Linked DNA regions of Pelodiscus sinensis. The protein of the gene in region 2 interacts with the protein of the main gene of each other region in a pairwise test. Links are inferred from orthologs where the notes say so. Each region holds a gene or a part of one and is shown on either strand. Other genes may lie near its edges. The genes, in order: TRIM37, MCM10 and CEP72.

Region 1 (8,047 bases), on a different chromosome or scaffold from region 2:
AGGCCATTGGAATTATTGTGGAGTTATATTTCAACTAGAGCACATTTTTTAAAGAAACATCCAATTATCCTAATTAATTAGCTCACTGTTAAAAATGTACACCTCATTTCTTGTCTGAAGTTGTCTAACTACTTGCTGTCATTGGATCTTGGTATAATAGCCTGCTGAACTTAATAGTATTGTCAAATAATTTTTCCCCATGTAGGTACTTACAAACTGATCTCACTCTTTAACCTTCTCTTTTTTAAATTAGAAAGTTCAAGCTCCTTAAGTCTATCACTCACTGTTAGGCATGCTTTCCAATCCTTTAACACTGTTGGGGCTCTTCACAGAACCATCTCCAATGTATCAACATGAAACTGAATATGAATTGCCAATGTGATGCAGCTGCAAACAAGACTAGTATGATTCTGGGGTTTAACAACAGAAGTGTTGTATGTAAAAACATGAAAGTTAATGGTCTCATTCTTCTCACCATTGCTGAGGCCCTAGCTGGAGTACTGTGTCCAATTCTGGACACCACAATTTAAAAAAGATGTGGACAAATTGTTAAAAAAAATCCATGTAAGAACTCAAAAATCACTTAGCGCAGAGTAACTATAGCTGAATAGTTAATCTGCTATAGATATGATGGTCAATTTCCCAATATATATAAACCCTTTTTAACTCCTATCTATATTAAACAGTCTCACTCATCTTGCTCTCTTACATAAATCTTTCCATACTTCAAAATAGAGATGTAAAATCCTGTTTAATTCACTAATGGGTTAGCTGGTTAAAGGGAAGGTGAGCAGGAGGGCCATTTCAGCCCAGCTAGAGTACCCCCACCCCGCTGTCCGCAGCTGGGCTGGAGCAGCCCCTGCCTGCAGGGTGCCCAGGCCCACAGGAGCTGCCCCTACCTGCGACACCCTACAGGGGGTGCTGCTCTAGGCCCCACCAGTTAACCGGTTAACCAGTTAATCATTCGCATCCTGACTTCAAAACCACTTATTTTGTATCTCTGACCTCTTGCTGTTGCTATAATTTTTGAGAAAGAGTGACCATAGCTGAATACAGTATTTCAGATGAGGACAACCTTTTATTTCTTTATAAAAGTGGCATTATACAGGTTGGACCTCCCTGATCTTGCACCGTCAGGAATTTGCCGGATCAGGGAGGCATCCCCTGCCACAGGCCTGAGCCAGCCGCCCCGACACAGGTGGCTGGGGTTGTCTGGCCCATGCTGCTGTATGCGGTCAGATATCCCCAGCCCCACGCTGCTGCAGGTGGCTGGGCTTCTCTGGCCCCCTGATCCTCTGCTGCCTGCCACAGGTTGTTAGGGTTCTTTGGCTCCACTGCTGTGAACAGCCAGGCTCTACAGCTTCTGGCTGTGCTGCTGCAGGCACCTGGGGTTCCCCAGCCCCATCCTGATCCCCACCCCTTCAATCCCTGGCCCCAGCACTGCTGTGGGGCTCCTGCTGCCCCCAGATCCAGCTGGCCCTCTTGACATTATCCTGCTGGGTTCTCTGGTCCAGGAGCATCCGAAGTCCGGCATGTTGCTGGACCAGCGTGTGCCAGTTTTCAGAGGGGCAACCTGTAGCATTTTCTGTATTTCCTACACGACAGAATTGTTTATTTCCTATCACTGCACACTGAGCTTATGTTTTTTCATTAACACCATCCACGATGATGTCTGGACTATTTTCTTGTGTGGTTACAACTATACTGCAGCACAATGTACGATGGGTTCCAATTACTCCTTCCAACGTGCGTTCTACCTTTCCCCTGTAAAAACTGAAGTTCATCAGCCACCACGTTTTCCATTCCTAGCTTCCTTGTATGTCTCTGGAGTTTGAGAAGATTTTTTGAAGAACCCGGACTAATCTAAATACTTGTGTGACCTGCATTTTTGCCTCACCACTGCATACTACTCCCTTTACCAGGCCACATATTAATACATCGAACATCAGTCTCTCTGCACAACCTGGTGGCACCCAGCCATTGATTTGTCTTAGATCAACCTCAGTTCGCCTCCTAGCGGTGTGAAAAATTTGGGCAATTCCCACACCCCCAGCACCACAGCGAGGTCAACTTAGGTTTCTCGTAGAGATCAGGTTCTAGTTTGTTATTCCCACCCCCCGGGCTCTGTCGGAGGCTGACAGCCCAAACACCACCTCCCTTCCCCCATGTGAAGACCCACAGGCCACTCTAGCTGGTGGCCAAGGATGTGCAGCCAGCACAGGTGGCCGCCCGGTTACCCTATCAGCGGAGCGCTTGGGCGGGCCCCCAGGAGAGATTCAGGTGCTGCCCAGAGCTCCCACCGCCGGCAGCGTGCGTTCCGCCGGGTGGTGCACACCCGCGCGTGCCTCCGCGCACACCATAAAATTTATTCCGTCCCGGGGCGGGGGGGAAAAACACTAACGAGAGGGAGCATTGGCGGCCGCCTGCGGTTTGTTTTAGAGACGTGCCTAGCAGCAGAGCGATGCTCCCGCAACGAGCCGGGGCGGAACCCAGGCGTCCTGAGGCAGGCTCCCGCCCGTGAGGGGAGCCGAGCCGGGGCGGAACCCAGGCGTCCTGAGGCAGGCTCCCGCCCGTGAGGGGAGCCGAGCCGGGCCCGCCCCGGCAGGTGGACGCTGCCCCTCCCCGCCCCCTCACCTCCACGCTCTGCTCGTCCATGGCCTCGGCTCGCCCGGCGCCCGCCCTCAGCGGGGCGGCTCCCCAGCGCCCCGGGGAGCAGGTCCCGGACGCGGCCCCTGCGGGAGAGAAGGGGGGGGTGGGGAGAGCGTGAGGAGCCGCGGGCGGGAGAGGCTCCCTCCGCAGCGGCCCGGCTCCCTCCGCAGCGCCCCGGCCCCACTAGCTACCGGCCATGTTCGCCCGGGGAGACAGGGGCGCCGGCGGCTCCGCCCTCCGCTCGCGCTCCCGCCTTGCGGCTGAGGAGAGCCGGCCCGGCCCCGCCCCCTCCGTCACGCGACCCGCCTGGCCGCAGCGCGCAGGCGCCGCCTCGAGGGGGAGCATCTGCAAAGGGTACCGCCCCTCCCCCACCTCCCGCCCTTCTCCAGCATCTGCAGAGGGTGCGACCTCCTGCTGCAAGATGCAGCATCTCCAGAGGCTACAGCGCCTCACCCCCCCCCCCGCACCACTTTCCCCCAGGGCTGCAGAGTCAGCCTAGGGCACGGCCCCCGCTTCATTTGTGCCAGGGCTGGGTCCTGGCCCCGCCAGATTTGCTGCCTCCCTGGTGAGCCTAAAATCATCGCGGGAAACCTGGCCCCGGTAGGGACGCGTGGTAGCACTCGGGGCGCGAGCCGCCTCGCTAGATCCCCGCCAAAAATGTAACTGCTCAGTGGGGTCCCTCCCCCAGTAGCATCAGTTGCCTATGCCTGGCCCCTCCCCGCCCCCACTGCAGCGGGTTGCAGCAGCAGAACGTGCAGCCGCCTCTCCCTGCATTGCTGCAGCGTTAGGTGAAACAGGGTAACCGTGTCCCAGTTTTGCAGGCCGGTTCGTATGCCTGAGCTCCCCTCCCCCATCTTCTGCAGGCAGCAACATGCACCATCTTCCGCCCCAGCCTCTAATCTCACTGGAGCTGGGAAGAGGACACTGGCCTGCTTCCCAAGCAGTAGCATGAGCCCTGGCGTGGCTGATTTAGTCAGCGCAAAAAGGGATTTTAAGACTGTGGAACAGAAAGGCTTGAGTGAGTCCCTACAGCACAAATCAAGGGGGGGGGGGAGAGGGATAGAAAAACCAATGCAAAGTTAGAGATCTTCTTGCAAGTCAGGTCAGACAAGCACCACGGCTAGCTGAGGCAGGCTGCTCACCTTGGGGCTATTGTGTCCTGCCTCGTGGTTCGGGGAAGGATGTCATTGAATGAATTTTGGAACCTGGTTGTGGACCAGCCACACGCCCAGAAGGGGTGGGTCTGGGGCGGAAGGGGTGAGGCTGAAGACTAATCTCTCTGAGTTGACTGGGGTAAAGGAAGAGGTTGATCCAGCTCCTTAACCATAACGGATAAGCATTACTTGCTTATCTTGCTGATTCTGGGCTTCTCACAGTGCTGCCACTTTGAAACGGTAGTGGTGTTTCATAAGAGTGATGCTTACCAGTTAACCATTCACATGCCTACTGTAAACAGATTTTTTTTGTTTAAAGAGCCACCCTAATAAGCAGAAAAGGGTAGCAATAATAGGCTACAATTTTCCTGTGTTTCAATTCTATATGTCTGTGATTAAAATAACCATTTTAAAAACACATCCGGCCCGCAAATCTATTAAACATTACTTTAGCCATCATCTATCCTAAAGAGAATTCCCCCATACAGATTAAAGGGCACCATTTTTTTGAAATATGGAGCACAAACAGTTCTCACTGATTTCTCTGAGTTAAGAGTGCATAGCTCTTTTGAAAAATCCAGCCCATAAAAAACAACCATCTCCGCTCCAACTTAATATTAACAAGCAATTAATTTATTAGTCGAGTAGTCAATAGAATTTCCCTTTACTACCCATAGGCACATCGACGTTCTGCCTTTGAAATGTGCAAGAGCCCCAGTGGGGGCTCGGGTGCATTTCAAAGTTGGAACACCATCTGGAGCCCAGGGCCAGCAGGAGTCCAGCTGACTCCAGGCTCCTTGCAGGTGCTTCCACTTTGAAATGCACAAGAGCCCAGGTGGGGGCTCTTGTGCATTTCAAAGCACCCACATGGAGGACTCAGAGTCCTGCACTGGCCCCAGGCTCCATGCTGCACTTCCTCTTTGAAATGCACAAGAGCCCCCACTGGGGACTCTTGTACATTTCAAAGCTGGCAAGCTGCACAGAGCCCAGGATCAGCTGGGGACTCCGCGTAGTATTTCAAAGCAGCAGCACTGCTTGGAGCCTGGGATTAGCAGGGGGGTCTCCCCAGCTGACCCCTGGCTCCCTGTGACATGCCAGCTTTGAAGTGTACAAGAGTCCTGATCAGGAGCTCTTATGCATTTCAAAGTGGCTTGGAGCCCAGGATCAGCAGGGGACTCCCCAGCTGACTCTGGGCTTCACACAGCGCTGCCACTTTGAAACACTGCAGTGGTGTTTCAAAGGGGCAGCGCGCCCTACTCCAACTAGCTTAAAGTGTCAATATTGCCAAATCTTACAATATTGCTGTTTTTTGTAAAGTCTGAAATTTTGAAATTGTGTGATTAGGCAATAATCAGCTTTTTTTGTTTGATTTTTTAAAATTAAATTTCTAGGCCTTGGGATTCCAAAGAAAAGCTTTAAAAGCTATACATACCCACAGGGGTTAAATAAAAAGAACTTAATGGGTATGTCAGTTTCCTGGGGTTTTTTTTTGGTGGGGGGAAGGGAGACGAAGGCTCAACGTTATTTTAATCAGTCAGATTGGCATTATTAGTAAATACTTGTAAACCACTTGTCACATACCTGCCAGCTACACAGCTCAGTGTTCTCTGTAGCCCCTGCTACAGTTGATGACATCATCAACTCCTAAAGAAGTTTAAATAGTTCCCTATAGCTGTTGCAGATCCACACATCTATTTCTTCAAAGTATAGCTCTGATCTTAGGTCTTAGACCATTACTACCTGTGCTTTATGCCAGCAATCCTGGGCTATGTCTAGACTGGCATGATTTTCCAGAAATGCTTTTAACGGAAAAGTTTTCCGTTAAAAGCATTTTCGGAAAAGAGCATCTAAATCGGCATGGACGCTTTTCCGCAAAAGCACTTTTTGCGGAAAAGCGTCCGTGGCCAATCTAGACGTGCTTTTGCGCAAAAAAGCCCCGATCGCCATTTTCGCGATCGGGGCTTTTTTGCGCAAAACAAATCTCAGCTGTCTACACTGGCCCTTTTGCGCAAAAGTTTTGCACAAAAGGGACTTTTGCCCGAATGGGAGCAGCATAATATTTCCGCAAAAAGCACTGATTTCTTACAGTAGGAAGTCAGTGCTTTTGCGGAAATTCAAGCGGACAGTGTAGACAGCTGGCAAGTTTTTTCGGAAAAGTGGCTGATTTTCCGGAAAAACTGGCCAGTCCTACTGATTTTCTGCAACTGCAGGAAGCAGCTGTTAAACCTTAATCCTTCTAATGCTATGCATTGTATACTTGGTTGTCTTTAGCTTTGCCTAAGTTAGCAAAGTAACCTGTTGCTGACAGTGTATTTCAGCAACAGGGCAAACAAATCCCTACTAAATAATTTAGTTGTAAGGACAACTCAGTTTAACCAATTTCTAGAATGGCCTGGTCGATGGTTTATCTTTGGCAATATTTGCCTTTAAAATCACAGTCAGCACCATTTCAGATGCAGTTGTTGCCCACCTGCACTCGTATCAGTTCACCCAAGTGGCAGAAGCAATTTAATAATTATCAATCCAGAAAAAGGGAAAAGCAAAGCAGCCTGATACTGGAACAGAACCATTATTTTATAATTTTAGAGAGTTAGTGTGCCTGTCAGTGAGTCCGTCCGTGTCTGTTTGTTCAAGAATTCCTCCTAAACAGTAAGAGCTAGGGCCACCAAATTTAGTATGCAGCTCCCTCTTATCTTATAGCAAGGTCAGGGTTTGGTTGTGCCAGGAAAATGAGAGATGCCTGGAATGGGATTGTTTTCCATAACACAGAAATGGAAGGGACAGAGAGCAGGGACAGTTGTACTTTGCAATGATCACTGCAGGCAGCAAGCATGGGGTGCAGTGACCGCAGTGGGGCAGCTGCACCAGGAAGACAGTGGCCAGCTGAAGCCTGGGCTCTCCATGTTGTCATTCACTGGCCCCGAGTAAGTGTCCCCCCACCACCTCAAGCCTCTCATCCCCTCATGTTAGATGGGGGCTCTGCCAGCCAGTAGCCCTCACGCCCAGGTCCCCCCAGGAGCACCACCAGGGCCTGGCAGCCTATCCTTGGCTCCCCACCAAGTAACTGCTGGCTAACCAGCAAGGTCCCCTCCCTGCTCCCAGAGACACTGGCTGGGGCTGCTAGCCAGAGTGACTGACTCCCTCTGTTCCCCCCAGTGTAGACATGGGCCAGGCCTGGCCATAGGTGCCAGAGCAGCACAGTTCTTACTATCATATGCACTCCAATAATTGCCCCCAGACCTGACTCCTTCACCCACATCCGCCTTGTTCCCCCACAAGGACTGGAGAAATGCCAGGTAAATCCTCTAGTGTATATCAAAATAAAAAGCTTTGTGCAAAAGGACTTTTGCCCAAAAGGGAGCAGCACAGTATTTCCTCAGTTCTTGAATTCAGTAATTCAGTGTTCTTGCGGAAATTCAAGCGGCCAGTCTAGACGCAGCCAAGTTGTCCTCGGTCCTCTTTCTTTAAAAATAAAACCTTAAGGAAAAACAAAAAAGTTAATAGAATCTTAAGGAAGTCATTTCCTTGTCCATAGTTATGGAGCCAACACCTACATATCACTGCAAAACAGCAGCTTGAAGTGCTAGAATCAGTAGTTGTTGTCCAAGAGAGATGTAGTTTGCATGACTGAACTGATATTATGTAGAGCTGCAGTCCCATGGAAGCAGCCTTTATCTAGTTCTATCATTTTTTCTTTTTTTAAAAAGATGTTCTGGAATGGTGACTAAGTCAGGCCATTGACTTACAGAAATCAGTTATGGAGAGACTCAGAAGGTATGCTGTGATAGATGGGGCAATTTCTCGCAATATTCTATACTACCTTTATTGAATTAAGTGTCAGCGTTTTAGGAATTCACTGCATTACAAATATATATGTTATTGTGAAATCATATGCAGCACCTTGAGGGAGGAAACCTGATTAAGTGATTAATGTAAACCCTGGAAAGTGCTATCAGCTTCAAAGGGCTATCTAAAACAAAGTGTATATGTAGACAGCCAAGTAGGTTTCTTTGGAGAAAACTGGAAGGAAGAGAATGCAAATTGTCTATCTTCTGACCCATCCTTATAAAGTTACACCTGGAGGAGAAAGCCTTTGTCTTACTGATCACCTATTCACTATCTAAGATCCAAGGGCCAAGCCAAATAAAGAAGAGATTCAGACTCCTCAGTGTGCTTGTTCCTAACCTCTATGGATATGAACTTATAACCAAGTTTGAAGGACTGATCACCTGCTTCAGCCCTTG
Region 2 (7,695 bases):
CCACTGGTCAGTTTCAGCAGCGGCTGACTTGGGGACGCCTGGGGCAGAGCAGCTGGGGTGCTGCTGGGTTGGTCCAGTAGCGCCGCCGCTCCTCGGCGCTACTGGACCAACCCAGCAGCACCCCAGCTGCTCTGCCCCAGGCATCCTGATTCAGCCGCTGCTGAAACTGACCAGCAGTGGCTGAATCAGGACGCCTGGGGCAGAGCAGCTGGGGTGCTGCCGGGTTGGTCCAGTAGCGCCCAGAGCGGCGCTACGGGACCAACCGGCAGCACCCCAGCTGCTGCACCACAGGCATCTGGAGCAAAGCCGTGGAGCACGGGGGCAGCGGGACAGCCCAGACGCGCCGTGGCTGTCCTGCTGCCCTCGGGCTCCGTGGCTTTGCTCTGCTTTGCTCCCCGTCCCCCTGGTCTGCGGACCAGGGGGACAGGGAGCAAAGCGGCGGAACACGCGAGCAGCGGACAGCCCAGACAGCGGACAGCGTGCTCCGCGGGCAGCGGACAGCCCTGTCCGCTGCCCGCGTGTTCCGCCGCTTTGCTTCCTCTCCCTGGTCTGCTGGAGACCAGGGAGAGGGAGGGCCCCGTTCGTAACTGCGGATCCGACATAAGTCGAATCCACGTAACTCGGGGACTGCCTGTACTAAAATCAAGTAACCCAGATTAGTTGTATATGACTTGGGGTTTGTGTGCATGCATGTACGAATAGAGAGGTATGATTTTGTAGTGTTTCAGTGTAGACACTGCCTATGCCTGCCAATGTAGCTACTCCATCTGCCTCTGAGAGGGGTGGATGGAAAAATTCTTCCGTTGACTTGGTGTTGTCTACAGTAGGGTTTAGATTGGTATATGTACACCTTTCAAGGGTGTGGATTTCTCACATCCCTGAAAGATGTAGCTAAACTAATGTCTAACAAAACATGTAGATATCATGCGCTTTTGTGGGCGCAACCTACTTCTCATTATACCACCTACATGTTTTGTTAGTCTTTAAGGTCCTACTAGACTATTTGTTTAAGTTTTTCCTGTTAGGGTGTGTCTACACTACACCGTTCTGCCGACGGAGGGATGTAGATTAGGCACTTCGAAAGTGCAAATGAGCCCAAGATTTACGTTGGGGTGCTGTGCCAATCACGAGCCCTTTCGAAAGTGAAAGTGAAGTCTAGCCACAGCTCTGCCGATAGCAGGGAGCTTTTTCGGCAGAGCCTGTACTCATTTTTTGAGGGTGCCAATACACAATTACTATTACTAATGCACAAAAAGGGGAATTTTTTTTTGTAGCACAGGTAAGGGAATTTGAAACACTTGAAATTAGAACTTGCAAAACTCAAATGAATTAAGTAGAATTTAAAAGAAGTCAAACATTTATATGGATACAAACTATCCAGAGCTCTAACAGTTAATGCAAACGAGAGTTTTGGAAGGGGTGCCCCCCTCATGTGTCAGGTCTTGAACACAATAGACTGTTAAATGTTAGGGCACAGCATGAGACTTGCAATGGGGTAGATTACCAAACATCTGGAGACAGCAACATTCTTGTACATTTCTCTGAAACACTTGGTGGCATTGTCCCAGAGAGCATACTAGACTCAATAGACCTGGGGCTAGCATGGCAATTAGGTTTTCACAGAATTACTATGCTAAGGTCCACCCAGGCACACAGCAAGGCACAGGGAGCTGAAGACATAACATTTGAAACATCATCCCCTGTAGCAGGGGTGAGGGTCCAGTGGGTGCAACAGGAGACTGGGTGCAGCATGGGGGGGATCCGCGGTTACAGGGCAGGGTGATGATGGAGAATTCAGGGATGAGTGGGTTTCATTTCTGACCCTCTTCCCAATCTCTTTGAATTACTTGTGAGATGCTTCACAGTGGTGACTGCCTCATGAGCATTCAGACAGACCCGCCTCCCGGATCTATCCCGGACTCCCCTCCCAGCACCTTCCCTTCCCTGAACACCTCCAGAGCCCCCCTCGCACCCCAACCCCACATGCCCCAGCTCAGAACCTGTCCCCCACTGGGCTCCCATCTCCTCCCTCCCCCAGGGATCCCCAAACCCGCCTCCCACCCAGGGAATCCACAACGCTGTTCTCTTCCCTTCCTGGAGCCCTTCTCCCCCCCCCATCCTTCCACCAGGGACCTGCCCTACATCCCCTAGCGGCACGCACCTCGCGTCCCATGGGCTGCGCCCCTCAGAGATCCCCTCCTAAGAACCCACAAGCTTGATCTCTCCTCCCCGGGCCCCCCCCCCGATCTCTCCTCCCTGGGGTCCCCCCCGGATTCCCACCCCCCCCGGTTTCTCCTCCCCGGGCCCCCCCCCCGATCTCTCCTCCCTGGGGTCCCCCCCGGATTCCCACCCCCCCCGGTTTCTCCTCCCCGGGGTCCCCCCCCGAGCTCTCCTCCCCAGGGTCCCCCACGGATCCCCACCCCACCGGTTTCTCCTCCCCGGGGTCCCCCACGGATCCCCACCTCCTTCGATTTCTCCTCCCTGGGGGTCCCCCCCGGATTCCCCCCCCCGGATTCCCACCCCCCCCCGATCTCTCCTCCCCGGGGTCCCCCCCGGATTCCCACCTCCCCGGTTTCTCCTTGCTGGGGTCCCCCCCGGATTCCCACCCCCCCAGTTTCTCCTCGCCGGGGTCCCCCCGGTTTCTCCTCCCCGGGGTCCCCCCCGGATCCCCACCTCCCCCGATCGCCTGCTCCGGGCGGCCTCCGACCCCCGCACTCACCGCGCCTAGCTCCACTCCTCTGAGGCACTTCGGGTCACCCGCCAAAATTCTAATTAGGCCCCGCCTTTCCGACTCCACGCAGGCGCGGCTGCCGCCTCCCGGAGAGACGCGGGAGTGCTGCGCATGCGTACAGCGTCTCTGGTCCGCCGAACGGCTCGCCGCGTGATCGGCGCCATCTTTAATAGGGGCAGCTGGGCCCTAAAGAGAGTAGCGTTGTGAAGCCAGCGGCGCCATCTTGCTTCGGGGCACGCACGCATCCGGCTCGGCGGCGGCTGCCTGTTACTCCTCGTCCTCCTGCCGGAGAGCCGGGACGCAACCTCCCAGGGCAAAGACCGCTGGCAGTTGGCCGAGCGCTATGATGATGTGATGTCACAGAAAGCAGGGTGATGACATCACACCATCGCTTACGTCACTAACTGCAGTAGTGGCGCTACGTAAAAGGGACAGGGCTGCTCTCTTGTCACTCACACCCTACCCTGGGGCACCCCACGTGGGTGTCAGGCCCGTTCCCTGGGGCTTTCTGCAGCATCACAGTGTTACATCCCAAGGGACAGCTGCATGACACCCCCCCCCCCAGGCGAACCAACCTCTGGGCCCTGATAAATCGCTGGGCACCTCAGGAGGATGCCCCACTTCCCAGGCAGCTGTACGGCACCTGGCCCGAACCACTGCCCTACCTCCAAACAGGCCACCATTCCCCAACTCTGTGCAGTTTTTTAAACTCAACTCAGCTACCTGCCAGCCTTCAGCAGTTTGCTCGGCTTCAGACTGTAATTTCAAGGGGGATAATTACATTCTGCCTATGTAAAGTAGCACCTAGGGATTGTAGAGTATCAGAGGGGTAGCCGTGTTAGTCTGAATCTGCAAAAGCGACGAGGAGTCCTGTGGCACCTTATAGACTAACTGAAGTGTAGGAGCATAAGCTTTCGTGGGCAAAGACCCACTTCGTCAGATGCCACCCACTTCGGCATCTGACGAAGTGGGTCTTTGCCCACGAAAGCTTATACTCCTACACTTCAGTTAGTCTATAAGGTGCCACAGGACTCCTCGTCGCTTCTAGGGATTGTAGTAATTTAAATTAATGAGGGGGGGGGTAAGAGAGAGGGGGAGAGAAGAGACTTTTCCCCAGTTTGCTTGCAGTTTTCTTTTTCTAATTTGCTTGCATTGTGCATTTGCCAGTTTTTGTGTGTGCAGTCGGTTACAACATTTCCCATGTTTAGTCAGGCATGAGCCTGCACAGCCACATAAGAGTAGTGCTATTGAATGTGCGTAGGGTTGGAGGCCTTATTCAATTTCTCCCTTGTACAAAACACCCTTATAAATGTAATGCAGAGGTGCTCCAGAACAGAGAAGGGCACAGTCTGGACTCAGATCCTAAATATCTTAATCCACTTGGAAATTAGTCAACACAAATCTAGTGGTCACTTGTTTTGTCGGCTTCTTGTTTTGTAAAGGAAAATTACTTATTAAAGGCTGTACAATATCAGTAACAGGTTATACAAATTGTACTGAATATTAGAAAATGGAATAACCAGTGGGATCAAGAGAAATTTTTTCAAGTTCCACCAGATGGCAGAAATAACTTGCTAGTCTAAAATGTCAATTTAAGCTCTGTAGAGAGCTGCATTGTTGAGCACAGGTGGGACCCAGAGGTGTAGCGAGGTTGTTATGTGCCCGGGGGCAAAGGAAAATTTTGCGCTCTCCCCCCCCCCCCGCTGCTGCCACCATGTGGCACAGCCCCGAACCTGGTGCACAGCTGAGGGGAACTTGTACGTCATCTTCCCGCACCCCCTACAGTTTGAGGCCGGGCTCCCACATGCACTAACCTGCCAGTGGAGATGGAGCAGGGTCAGGCTTGGAGCAGCGAGGCAGGGAGGAGGTTCTAGCTGCCGGTAGCAGGTGGAGTAGGAGCATGTGAGCTGAAGGGATAGTGGGGGGAGCAGAATGGGATTAAATTGGAGCCTCCCTAGCATTGTGCCCAGGGGCAACTGACCCCTCTGACCCCCTTGCTACATCACTGGCCCCCCCTCCTGCAGAACTATCATCTTATGCATGTGCAAGATCTGTGAGAGTCATCCCGTGAATCTGCAGTTAGTGTCTGTGGCGCCTGCTTCTGGGTGGTGTCTCAATGCTGCCACATTCATCTCCAAAGAGGGGGCTTCCCAAAGCAGGCCCTTGCTGCTGACCCCCAAGGCATCCACAGGTCCAGTCTCCTTTCAATGGGCCCACTTCCCAGGGCTCATTGATCTTGGATCTGGCTTCCATTCCCTCTCCAACCTTTGCAACTGCCCAGAGGTGTCACCTTCCACCTTATACATTCCCACCTCATTCACCCCACAGGGACAGTGTCTGCCTCACTTGTCCTAGGGACTATTCTACCAAGACGTAATACAAAGTTTCCATGTAAAAGGACTCAATACAAAGCTAAAAACTTCAATGAGAATGATTAATACAGAGAGGTGTCTACATCTGCTGCAGGGAGACTCCTCTGCCTGCCTCCACCCCTCTCCCCCCCAGAGTCTACAGCCCCATTGCAAAGTGGGGGAGGGAAAGAAAAGAGGTTGAGGCCCATCCAATGGGACTGAAGCAGTCATGAGCAAGCCATGCCAGGGAGCCATTCCCCTGTCCATTGCTGGTATTGTGTTGCTTCAGGCATGCTGAAATGCAGTCACCTCTAGGGTGGGCTGGACAGCTGATTAACACCTGCACAAGGTTTCAGGCAAGGAACATTGTGGGCTGCCTTCCTGCAGAGCCCCTATCCGAACTACTGAGCCTTCCTGGCTTAGGAAAAAATAAACAGGAGGACTGGAAATTAACCCCCCCAGTCTTACATCCCCTAGGCAGGGAATGAGCCATCTACATTAGGCCCCAGCTGGAGTATCATGCCTAGTTCTGGGCGCCACGTTTCAGGAAACGTGGAGAAACTGGAGAAAGTCCAGAGACGATCAACACAAATGATGAAAGGTCTAGAGAACATGAGATATGAGGCAAGGCTGAAGGAATTGGCCTTGTTTACCTTGGAAAAGAGAAGACCGAAAAGGGACATGAGAGCAGCTTTCAAGTATCTAAAAGAGTATCATAAGGAGGAGGAAGAAAAATTGTTCTCCTTGGCCTCTGAGGTTAGGATGAGAAGCAATGGGCTTAAATTGCAGCAAGGGAGGTTTAGGCTGGACATTAGGAAAAACTTCCTGCCTGTCAGGGTGGTTAAACACTGGAATAAATTGCCAGGGAGATTGCGGAATCTCCATCACTGGAGATATTTAAGACCAGGTTAGACAGACACCTGTCAGGGATGAGCTAGGGCAACTCAACTTTGGAAGCTCTAGGGGCCACACTGATACTTACAGAACATGCTGAGGGCCTCAACTTAAGTGTGGTTGCATATGCAAGCAAGTATATACAAATAGCTTCTCTCACACAAGACAGGCATGAATACAAAGATTAAGGCAAAACTATACAACACACAGGCCCCATTTAAGTCAGTTCTTCTGATATTAATAAAATGCAACATTTACCCAATTTCTACCCACGTGAAAGCACTTTTCATGAGCAATGACAGTCCAAGAAATTAACTACTAAAACACATATCAACAGAAGATCATTACACTGACTACTTTTTTGTTTTAGCTCCCACTTGCCGGCCACGTGTTGATCTCCACATAAACCCAAACTGCACCGCGGGACGCAAACAAACTGGCCGTGGGCAGCATATCAAGTTATTAATAAATATTTTAAAACCTTTACCTTTTCTCTCTGCTGCCATGTCTCCTCTCTTCGCTCCATCATCTCCTCTGGTGCCTGCTGGCCTCCAACTCCTCACCCTCCTCTGCTGTCCTGACTCCTGCCCTTCTCACTGCCCTCAGCCCTCCTGCGACCTGCCCCCCTCCACCAGCCCTTCTCTCCCTCCTGTGCCCACTCCTCCAGTAGCCCCACTCTGATCAGATAAGCTACCCCTCCTCATCCCCTCTTCTAACACCTCCCTCTACACACCTGCCCTGCCTCTCTCCTCTGATGCTGGTCCCTCCTCTGCAGGTGTCTGCCCTTCTGCTTCACCCCCAGAATCCCCTGGCACCTGCACATTCCCTTAGCCCTGAACCCTCCTGGTGCCTCCCCCTTCCCTCACTGCTCCTGCCCCCTTTTTCCCCTGATACCCACCCCCTCACCACCCTCTGCCCCCATTCTCCTCATGCCCGTGTGCCCTCACACGACTTGCTCCATCCCCACCCCTCCTTTCAAGCCTTCTCCCAGCACCTCCCCCTCTCCCCTCTAGACCCTAATGCCCTTACCCTCTCGCAGCATCACCCTGTCCCCCTTCCACTTACACCTCCCCTCCTGCCCTTTTCCTCATTGTCTGCACTTGGCCCCCTGCAATTTGTATCTTCCCTCTCCCCTCCCCCTCCGCACAAGCCCCTTCCTCTCCCACCCCTTCCCTGCCCTGCTGTACCTTCTGCCTTCCACTTTGTGGGGCCAGACTCTGTGCTCGGGCCCCAAAAGTCCTTGGACTCTGAACTGGAAGCTAGGCTGTGCGGCCCCACATGGCACCACACACTTTTAAAGTCCCGGGCCGTGACATCACATCACGCCCGGGCGTCTCCCCGGTCACCTGGAAATGCTGTACATGGCGGCAGCAGCAGTCGGCAGCGTGCGCAGGCAAGGGGGAGCCGACTGAATGCTGCGCACGGCAGGGACGGTCCGGGGCTGGGGGGAAAGACGGCCAATAACTCGCCGCCCATGCACCCAGCATGCGCTCGTTCTCATCCTGGCCGGCAGCCCCCTAGCGTGATACCCGGGGGCAATTGCCCCTTCGCTACGCCTCTGGTGGGACCTCCCTGGTCTGACACCATCAGGATCTGAGCGGTCCTAAACCACAGTGGTTGCCGGATCAGGGGAGGTCAAGGCTCCCCTCCCAGCTGTTGGCCCTGCACCCTACCATAGGCCTGCCCCCAGTCCTGTCAGGACTATGCTTCTTGCTCCAG
Region 3 (7,613 bases), on a different chromosome or scaffold from region 2:
AGCTAAACTATGAAGTCGAAATATTTCTGATAGTGATGAAATGTGATTGTAATAGAGATTGATCTTTTCTAAAAATATCAAATGCTGAATACCCTGTTAATGTATAGAAAACAAAAATCATATTAGTTTGTAATATAAACTTAGTTTTTGTTGAATGAAATACACTAGGTCACTGGTATAAATCAAAGCCAGACAAGTAGTGACTTAGCACTTTTTTCTATCTGCCTGTAGTAGTTTGGTGGTCTATATGAAAAGGGATGTTGGTCTAAAAAAAAAAAAAAAAAAACCTCATTCTAATGACACTGAAAACACTTTTTAAATTAAAACTTTTGCTGAGCAAGATGAGCAATTATTGAATTTAAAATACTAATTGAGCACCTCAAATACTGACACAAATCTGAGTTCTTCAAGCTATCATATGCTACAGATATGAATTTTCTTCATTAGTGTATTTTACATATTAGCAGCAGAAAGTGGTTTCATTAAACTAGCTATGATGTGCTAGCTATGCTCATACCTCAGACTTCTGTAGAGTTAAGCATATTGTTGCTGTTCTTCACAAAAAAGGGTTGAGAGAAGCAATTGCACTTATACTCTCATCCTGCAAAGTTTTAAGCACGTGCTTAATTCTAACCACAGGGAGTCCCAGGGGCATTGGATGAACTCATGTATTGAATTAAATATGAGCGTAAGTCTTTTTAAGATCAGAGCCACAACAGAAAAAGGTGATGGATTGACAGTACTTAATCTATTATCCTGCTTCAACTACAAAGGAGTATAATACAGGTTTGGTAATTAGTGTTTCACTATACCAAACCGCTGAAGTATCTTTGAGAAAGGCAATGTGTTATATTTTCATACATTAGTTCAGACTCTGTGCTATCTTTTGCTGAGACTTTTATCAAGGGTACCAATTATAATCTGGACTCCCACCCATCTGGAATTAGACAAACGATTTTATGATTTTATACACAGTGCTTTTGAACAACCAACAGAAAATAATTTTTGACCACTAGCCCAAACAAGGGATGTGAAGGACTAGTTGACTATCCAATAAGCAAACGTTTATCAGATAGTCAACTAGTCGCTTCCCCCGCCCCTTGCTGCCTCTATAACAGAGGCAACAAGGGGGGGAAGAAGAGTAGGGTACTTCAAAGTGGCAGCACCGCATGGAGCCTGAGGTCAGCTGGGGACTCCCCAGCTGACCCCAGGCTCCACGCGGCGCTGCAGCATTTCAAAGTGGCAGCGCCACAGGCACTTTCACCTGGGGCAGTTGCTATACTTCAGTGCTGGAGGCACCCTATCAACTAATCAAATAGCTGATGCAAAAATGCATCAACTATTCGATTAGTCAATTACCTGATACTTAACATTCTTAGCCCAAACTAGATCAAAATTGTCATGTGGAAATAAAACATTCTATATGCTGTTACCAATGTTCCAAAGTAATGCAGAAACATTTACCTTATTAAAAAAAAAAGTTACAAGTGGGACCTCTCTGGTCCAGGAGCTCTTTGGTCCAGTAATATCCGCAGTTCTTCTGGACCATGGATGTTGCTGGACCAGAGTCCCAGAAAAGAAAGGTTCAACCTGTACCAGGTTTGCAAAGAACAAAATCCTCCCCCAATGTTGTTCCAATCTCCATAAAACCCTCAATACAACTCCTCCAATTCTCTTGTCCTTTCTCCACGACTTCAAGAGCCAACCTATTCTTGTTACATTTGTCTTAAAAAATAATTTTAAAAAATTAAGATAAACATACCTCCAAGCTAACCAATGCATTGCGAGAGAGATCTAAGGATTTTAGGCGAGTGAAATTTTTCAGAGAATGTCCTAAATGAGTAATCTTTTCATGATAAGTTCCAGGAAGAGACAATGATCGGACATCAGCTACAATGAGAAAATTTAAAACCTGAATATATTTATCATAAGAAAAATGAAATTACTAAAATTATTAAAATAAATTTCAAATCTACCTGATTATTGATGTGACAGACAATGCAGGATGAAGCTGTTCAATTTTTATGATTTTTAGCGTTGTGTGTGCCCGTGAATTAGAAATATTTATCATTGACAAGTGGAACTAAAAACAGTAGGGACTGGCTTCCTTATGCCTATTAGGGAAAATGTTAAACTTCTTGGGGGTATGCTGCTTGGTAGAAGTGCAAAGGGGACCTAAAGCAGATAATACACTTCCATCTGTATTGCTTCCCACCAGGCAGTCTGCAAGGTAACTGAGCCAGGAAGACAGAGGACAAGCCCACAAAGAGCATTCTGTTTCTATTCTCAACTCTAGTGACAGTCACAAGTGGCCAAAGAGGGGTGCCCCTATAAATTGTTTCTTGCAATCAGATCCCATCTATAGCCACTTGTGTACAGAGTATACCCACAGGCAGTAACTCCAAACTCCAGCACTCTCTGGGCCAGCAACATCCCTGATCCGGCAGAACCTTGGATGCTCCTGGACCACAGAACCCGGGAGCCCGAGGGCAGCCACAACAGAGATCGGGCCCTCCCATTGGTCAGAGGTGCTCGGGGCGTGACCACGACACAAGCCCCGCCTATTTGTTTTCTGCCCCGCCGCGATCCGCCGGATTAACGGTTTTAACCGCCAGGGCGAGGCGGAGAGGCGTGTGGGCGGGGCTGACGTCTCCGGGCGCCTGCTACCGCGAGCAGCAGCGCCCGCGGAAGGGGAGTTGCTTACCCAGGTTCTGGTGCCGCAGATTGACTCTCTCCCGAATGGCCTCCTCCGTGACCGCCGCCATCGCGTTCAAACACTGCGCATGCGCGCTGAGATACTGCTGCAGCTCCCCGCCGGAAGCGCCAATAGATACCGCGAGGGGGCGGGGCTTGCGGAGGGGGCGGGGGCTCCGGGCGGCGCCCTCTGCCCGCTCTGAGGCCGGGCGGGAAGCGGCCCCGCAGTCAGTTCGTTGCGGGGCGCAGCCTGTGGCGCGCGGCCGTGCTGCGGATGCCGCGTGGTTGTGCGCCTGCGCGGAGGTGCATTGCGATCGTCGTGCAGCAGCAGCAGCGCCCTCGGCCAGAGCCTTAGCAGGGCCTCCCCTCCACCGAGCTGCTGGCTCTCTGGGCATGGACTGAACTATTCTGTTAGTGGGGGCCGCGGAGCCTGCCCAGTAGCAGCATTGCCCGGCCACGCTATAGAGAAGCTCCACCGCCTTCGTAATGTGCAGCTGGACTGTGCGGATTCGCTGGGACATGGTCTTGGTGTCAGGGATACGCCTTTTGCTAGCCCTGTCAAAATCAATTGAGTTGTCTGAGGCGCAGTCTGCATTTGCACGTTACTGCACAGGAAAATCAGCCCTTGTCACGCTTACTTTCAAGGTGTTTACAATGGTAAGGCAGCTGCTTTTGCAGAAAAACTTGCCAGCTGTCTAAACTTCCCTTCTTGAATTTCCGCAAGAACACTGATGATCTCATGTAAGAAATCAGTGCTTTTTGCGAAAATACTAGGGTGCGCCCGTTCTGGCAAAAGTCCCTTTTGCGCAAAAGGGCCAGTGTAAACAGCTGAGATTTGTTTTGCGCAAAAAAGCCCCGATCGCGAAAATGACGATGGAGGCTTTTTTGCGGAAAAGTGCGCCTAGATTGGCCATGGCTGCTTTTCCGCAAAAAGTGCTCTTCCGGAAAAGCGTCCGTGCCAATCTAGACGCAAAACTTTTCCGTTAAAAGCATTTCCGGAAAATCATGCCAGTCTAGACGTAGCCACCATGTATGGTCCTGGATTGAACCTGCAGTCTCCCAGAAGACTCTTGTTTGCTTCCCTGCTCACCCTAAGCAGCGAAATGTCTTCCATGATTAATACAGCCTTTGGAAATTGAGTGACTATTACTAACAATTAGGCCCCCACACAGTGGTGTTTCCAAGTCACACCTGCCCAGAGTACAGTAGGGTCCTGCACCAATGAAAACCCCTGTTCCTCAGCACCAAGAAATTTCCTGCCCCCATGCATCAAGGAATTCCCTTGCCCTAGAGATGAACTCACCATTGTATGATTCTGTATCTTATGTATGCTCACTCCAGGATAGTGAGTCAATGCTAGGAATGTGAACAATGGAATGTCAATAATGGACCCTCTGTAAGTGTTGCAGATTTGTCTTGACAGAGCTGAACTTTGGCATGCTAGTCTGAACTGATATCACCTGTGGAAAGGCTTCACAAAGCAAGAAAATGGCCCCAAAAGACTTGAGAGGAGTTTTTGCATGACATCCTGAGTCTCACTGCTGCTGAGAGAATTGAAGGAGTGGAGGGACAGTGAGAGGAGGGAGCAGAAAGAAAGCACAGAGTAGCTCTTAACCTAAACATTATGGAGTAGTAAGTGGAAACACTCTAGGTGCAATTTAGCATTTCAGACAGAGCAGCTGTGCAAATGCCTCCCCCACCCCCTGCAGCCGGTGTCCCAAAACTGTTTTCCATACACGTTCCATCACTGCCAACACAATTTGGCCACCACCACCACACTCCACATCTACTCCCTCAATCTCCATCCATGCAGACTCCCACAGGCCCCTCCCTGATGCACTCAACACCCATCCCCATGAGGTTTAGCTCTGATGAACTGCAGGCCCTCTTGCACAGCAAGGCTGCATATGAAACCTAGACATAGAAAAATACATGAGACTCTGTGCTCCTTTCATAGCCCTGGTCTCAGGCTGTTCAAACTCAGCTTCCAGACGCTGAGCTTCAGCAGTCCAGGCCTGAGTGAAGCTTTCACCCCTCCTTTCGCAAATATTATGGAGGGTACAGCGCATGCCAATAGTCATAGAGATGTTGTCATTGTCCAGGTCCAGCTTCCTGTACAATCAACAGCAGCAGGCTTTCAAACACCCAAAAGCATACTCCACAGTCAGCCTGCTATTGAACTGCTCTTTACTGTTGTCAAGGCTCCTTGAGTATGGCTTTATGAGCTATGACACTAAGGGGTAGGCAGGGTTTCCAAGAATCACAATGGTCATTTCCACTTCCCTCACAGTGATCTTCTTGTCTGAGAAGAAAGTCCCCACTTGCTGCTTTCTGAATAGGCCAGTATTCCAAAAGATGCATGCATTATGCATCTTTCTGGGCCAGCCTGCACGAATGTCTGTGAAATGCCCACAGCGATCCACAGGTGCCTGCAGAGCCATGGAGAAATGCCCCTTGCTGTTAATGTACTTGGAGGCTTGCTGGTCTGGTGCCAGAATTGGAATATGTGTGCCATCTATTGCCCCATCACAGTTCAGGAAGCCATCCAAGCAGAGCCATCCACAATTTCATGTACATTGCCTAGAGTCACAGTCTTGCAGAGTAGGATGAGACTGATGGCCCTGCACACTTTCATTAACATGCGTCCAACAATCAACTTTCCCACTTCAAACTGATTGGCAACTGAGCAAAAGATGTCGGGAATACCCAGCTTCCACAGTGTGATCACCGCGTGCTTCTCCAGCAGCACGGCAACTCTCATTCACGTGTCCTTGTGTTGGAGGAAAGCTCAGCACACAATCCTATGAAAGTGGTTTTCCTCGTCCGAAAATTCTGCAGCTATCATTCCAGGCTTGCATGACAATGTGATCCCAACACTCGATGCTTGTTTCCTGAGCCCAAAGGTTGTGTTCCACTGTGCTCAGCACCTCTCTGAATGCCTCCTCATTGTCACTTTGCAACTTCAGGAATAACTTGGCAGAGCTCCCAGCCACTAGCCTCCCTGCCACCAAGCTCCTGGCTGGCAGGGCTTCCAGCTCCAGGATTCTCTGGTCCAAGAACATCTGTGGACCAGAGGGCATGTCTACACTACACGGAATATCGACACTGCCATGGCCAATATTCTGGGATTTGAATTAGTAGGTCTAGTGAAGACATACTAAATCGAACTCAGAGGGCACTCCTGTCAGCACTGATACTCCTGCTTCCTGCAAGGATTAAGGGAAGCTGATAAGAGTATTTGCTCCCATTGACCTCCCACTCTGTGGACAGTTATTTAAGATATGTTGACTCCAATTAACGTAGCTTGAGTTGTGTATCTTAGGTCGACCTTCTGCTCCAGTGTAAACTAGGCCAGAGAATCCTGGTTTAGGTAGTTGCAACCTGTAGTAGCAAAATGAGAAATTCTCCCAAAATAAACATCTAAAACATCTCGGCTGCGTCTAGACTGGCATGATTTTGCGGAAATACTTTTAACGGAAAAGTTTTTCTGTTAAAAGTATTTCCGCAAAAGAGCGTCTAGACATGCTTTTGCGCAAGAAAGCTCCGATGGCCATTTTAGCCATTGGGCTTTCTTGCGCAAAAAATTAAGGTGCCTGTCTACTACATTCAAGCGGCCAGTGTAGATTGCTGGCAAGCTTTTGCGCAAAATCTTGCCAGTCTAGACACACCCCTCTAGTATATTTGGAATGGCTAAAAGAATTGTCAGAATACAACTTGGATGGAGAAAAAAACTTATCATCAACAAAATGAGAAAAAATATACTAAAATTCAGTGTCATATGGATGCATTGATGTAATTGTGCAAAGTATACCTCGTGCATAATGTATTTCTAAACAAAATTAAGATTTTGCAATGAGTCTTTTATTAAATAATAAAGGAAAAGAAAACAGAAGCTAAAAGCAGAAAACAATAATCCTATCTGTTTGCTTTCTTCTGACCATACTAATGTCCTTAAATACAATGGGTTTCATTCTCCATTGGCTTACACTCTACCCTCTACATTTCTTTAATTTTAATGAGATAGTGTCAGGTGTGTATCAGAGCAGAATTTTTCCCTCTGTCTTCCTGCCTTTTGATCTGCTCTTACATTTTTTAACAATCTTGTTCACTAGCCTTTGTAAATGATTTTCCAAAAACATTTGTTCTGTTGACACTAGAAAAAGATAAGCTATCTAAGAAGTAATTAGCCATGGAATATTGCTTATGAGAGACCTATTTTAACTTTGGACTGCATTGATTTTGAACTGGATCAATATGATTCTGACTCAGCATATTTTTCTGATATATGAATTCAGCACAGACGAATGCTTATAAATCTTACTTTGTTTAATACCTCAAGTGAAGTTCAATATTAATAAATTTGAATTTGAGATAGATGAGATTTTGAAATTTTCAAAGTTGCTGCTTGATCACATTTTTTATTTCATTGTAAAAGAAAATCTGTATGTGACCATCTTGAAATGGCTAGCCTTTGCATCAGCACTCCCCTCCATCTCTTTCTAAGCAATGGTGGAAAGTGAAGTTAGACTACTGAAAATGGATTGCCACAACAGCTCTTTTATTCTTTTAGGGTACGTCTAGACTACAGGCTTCCATCGACAGAAGTTTTGTCGACAAAACTTCTGTCGACAAAGAGCATCCAGACTACTTCTGTCGACAAAGAGTATCCTGACCGCGGGACGGTCTGTCGACTGAAGAAGACACCCAGAAGTGCTTCTGGAAGGTCACAGAGGTAGCCTTAAAGCCCAGGCACTGCAGCATGCTCTCTGCAGAGACGCATGCTTAAAGTGATCCTCCTGGACAGCCGGTGCTCTGCTCCTGCTTCTGGCTTGCCTACCTCCTCGAGGGAAAGCAAAGCTGCTGCAGTTTTTTTGGCTCTGGTTGCCCTGCTTTCTCGGACACCACAGCAGTTTATTTTC

Evidence for each region.
Region 1: the proteins of MCM10 (region 2) and TRIM37 interact in a two-hybrid assay, tested with the Homo sapiens proteins (2 studies listed by BioGRID and IntAct). The link is inferred for Pelodiscus sinensis from reciprocal best matches to the Homo sapiens genes MCM10 and TRIM37.
Region 3: the proteins of MCM10 (region 2) and CEP72 interact in a two-hybrid assay, tested with the Homo sapiens proteins (2 studies listed by BioGRID and IntAct). The two-hybrid records come from large-scale screens. The link is inferred for Pelodiscus sinensis from reciprocal best matches to the Homo sapiens genes MCM10 and CEP72.

Annotation. Positions count from the first base shown.
Region 1 is NC_134731.1:5,328,406-5,336,452, forward strand, and holds the start of TRIM37 (E3 ubiquitin-protein ligase TRIM37), read right to left. Parts: upstream 3,008-8,047; 5' UTR 2,995-3,007; coding exon 2,841-2,994; exon of another isoform or gene 2,733-2,840; coding exon 2,635-2,732; intron 1-2,634. UniProt on the Homo sapiens protein: E3 ubiquitin-protein ligase required to prevent centriole reduplication. Probably acts by ubiquitinating positive regulators of centriole reduplication.
Region 2 is NC_134711.1:13,735,056-13,742,750, reverse strand, and holds the start of MCM10 (protein MCM10 homolog), read right to left. Parts: upstream 3,045-7,695; 5' UTR 2,720-3,044; intron 1-2,719. UniProt on the Homo sapiens protein: Acts as a replication initiation factor that brings together the MCM2-7 helicase and the DNA polymerase alpha/primase complex in order to initiate DNA replication. Additionally, plays a role in preventing DNA damage during replication.
Region 3 is NC_134712.1:145,501,735-145,509,347, reverse strand, and holds the start of CEP72 (centrosomal protein of 72 kDa), read right to left. Parts: upstream 3,015-7,613; 5' UTR 2,766-3,014; coding exon 2,705-2,765; intron 1,891-2,704; coding exon 1,763-1,890; intron 94-1,762; coding exon 1-93. UniProt on the Homo sapiens protein: Involved in the recruitment of key centrosomal proteins to the centrosome.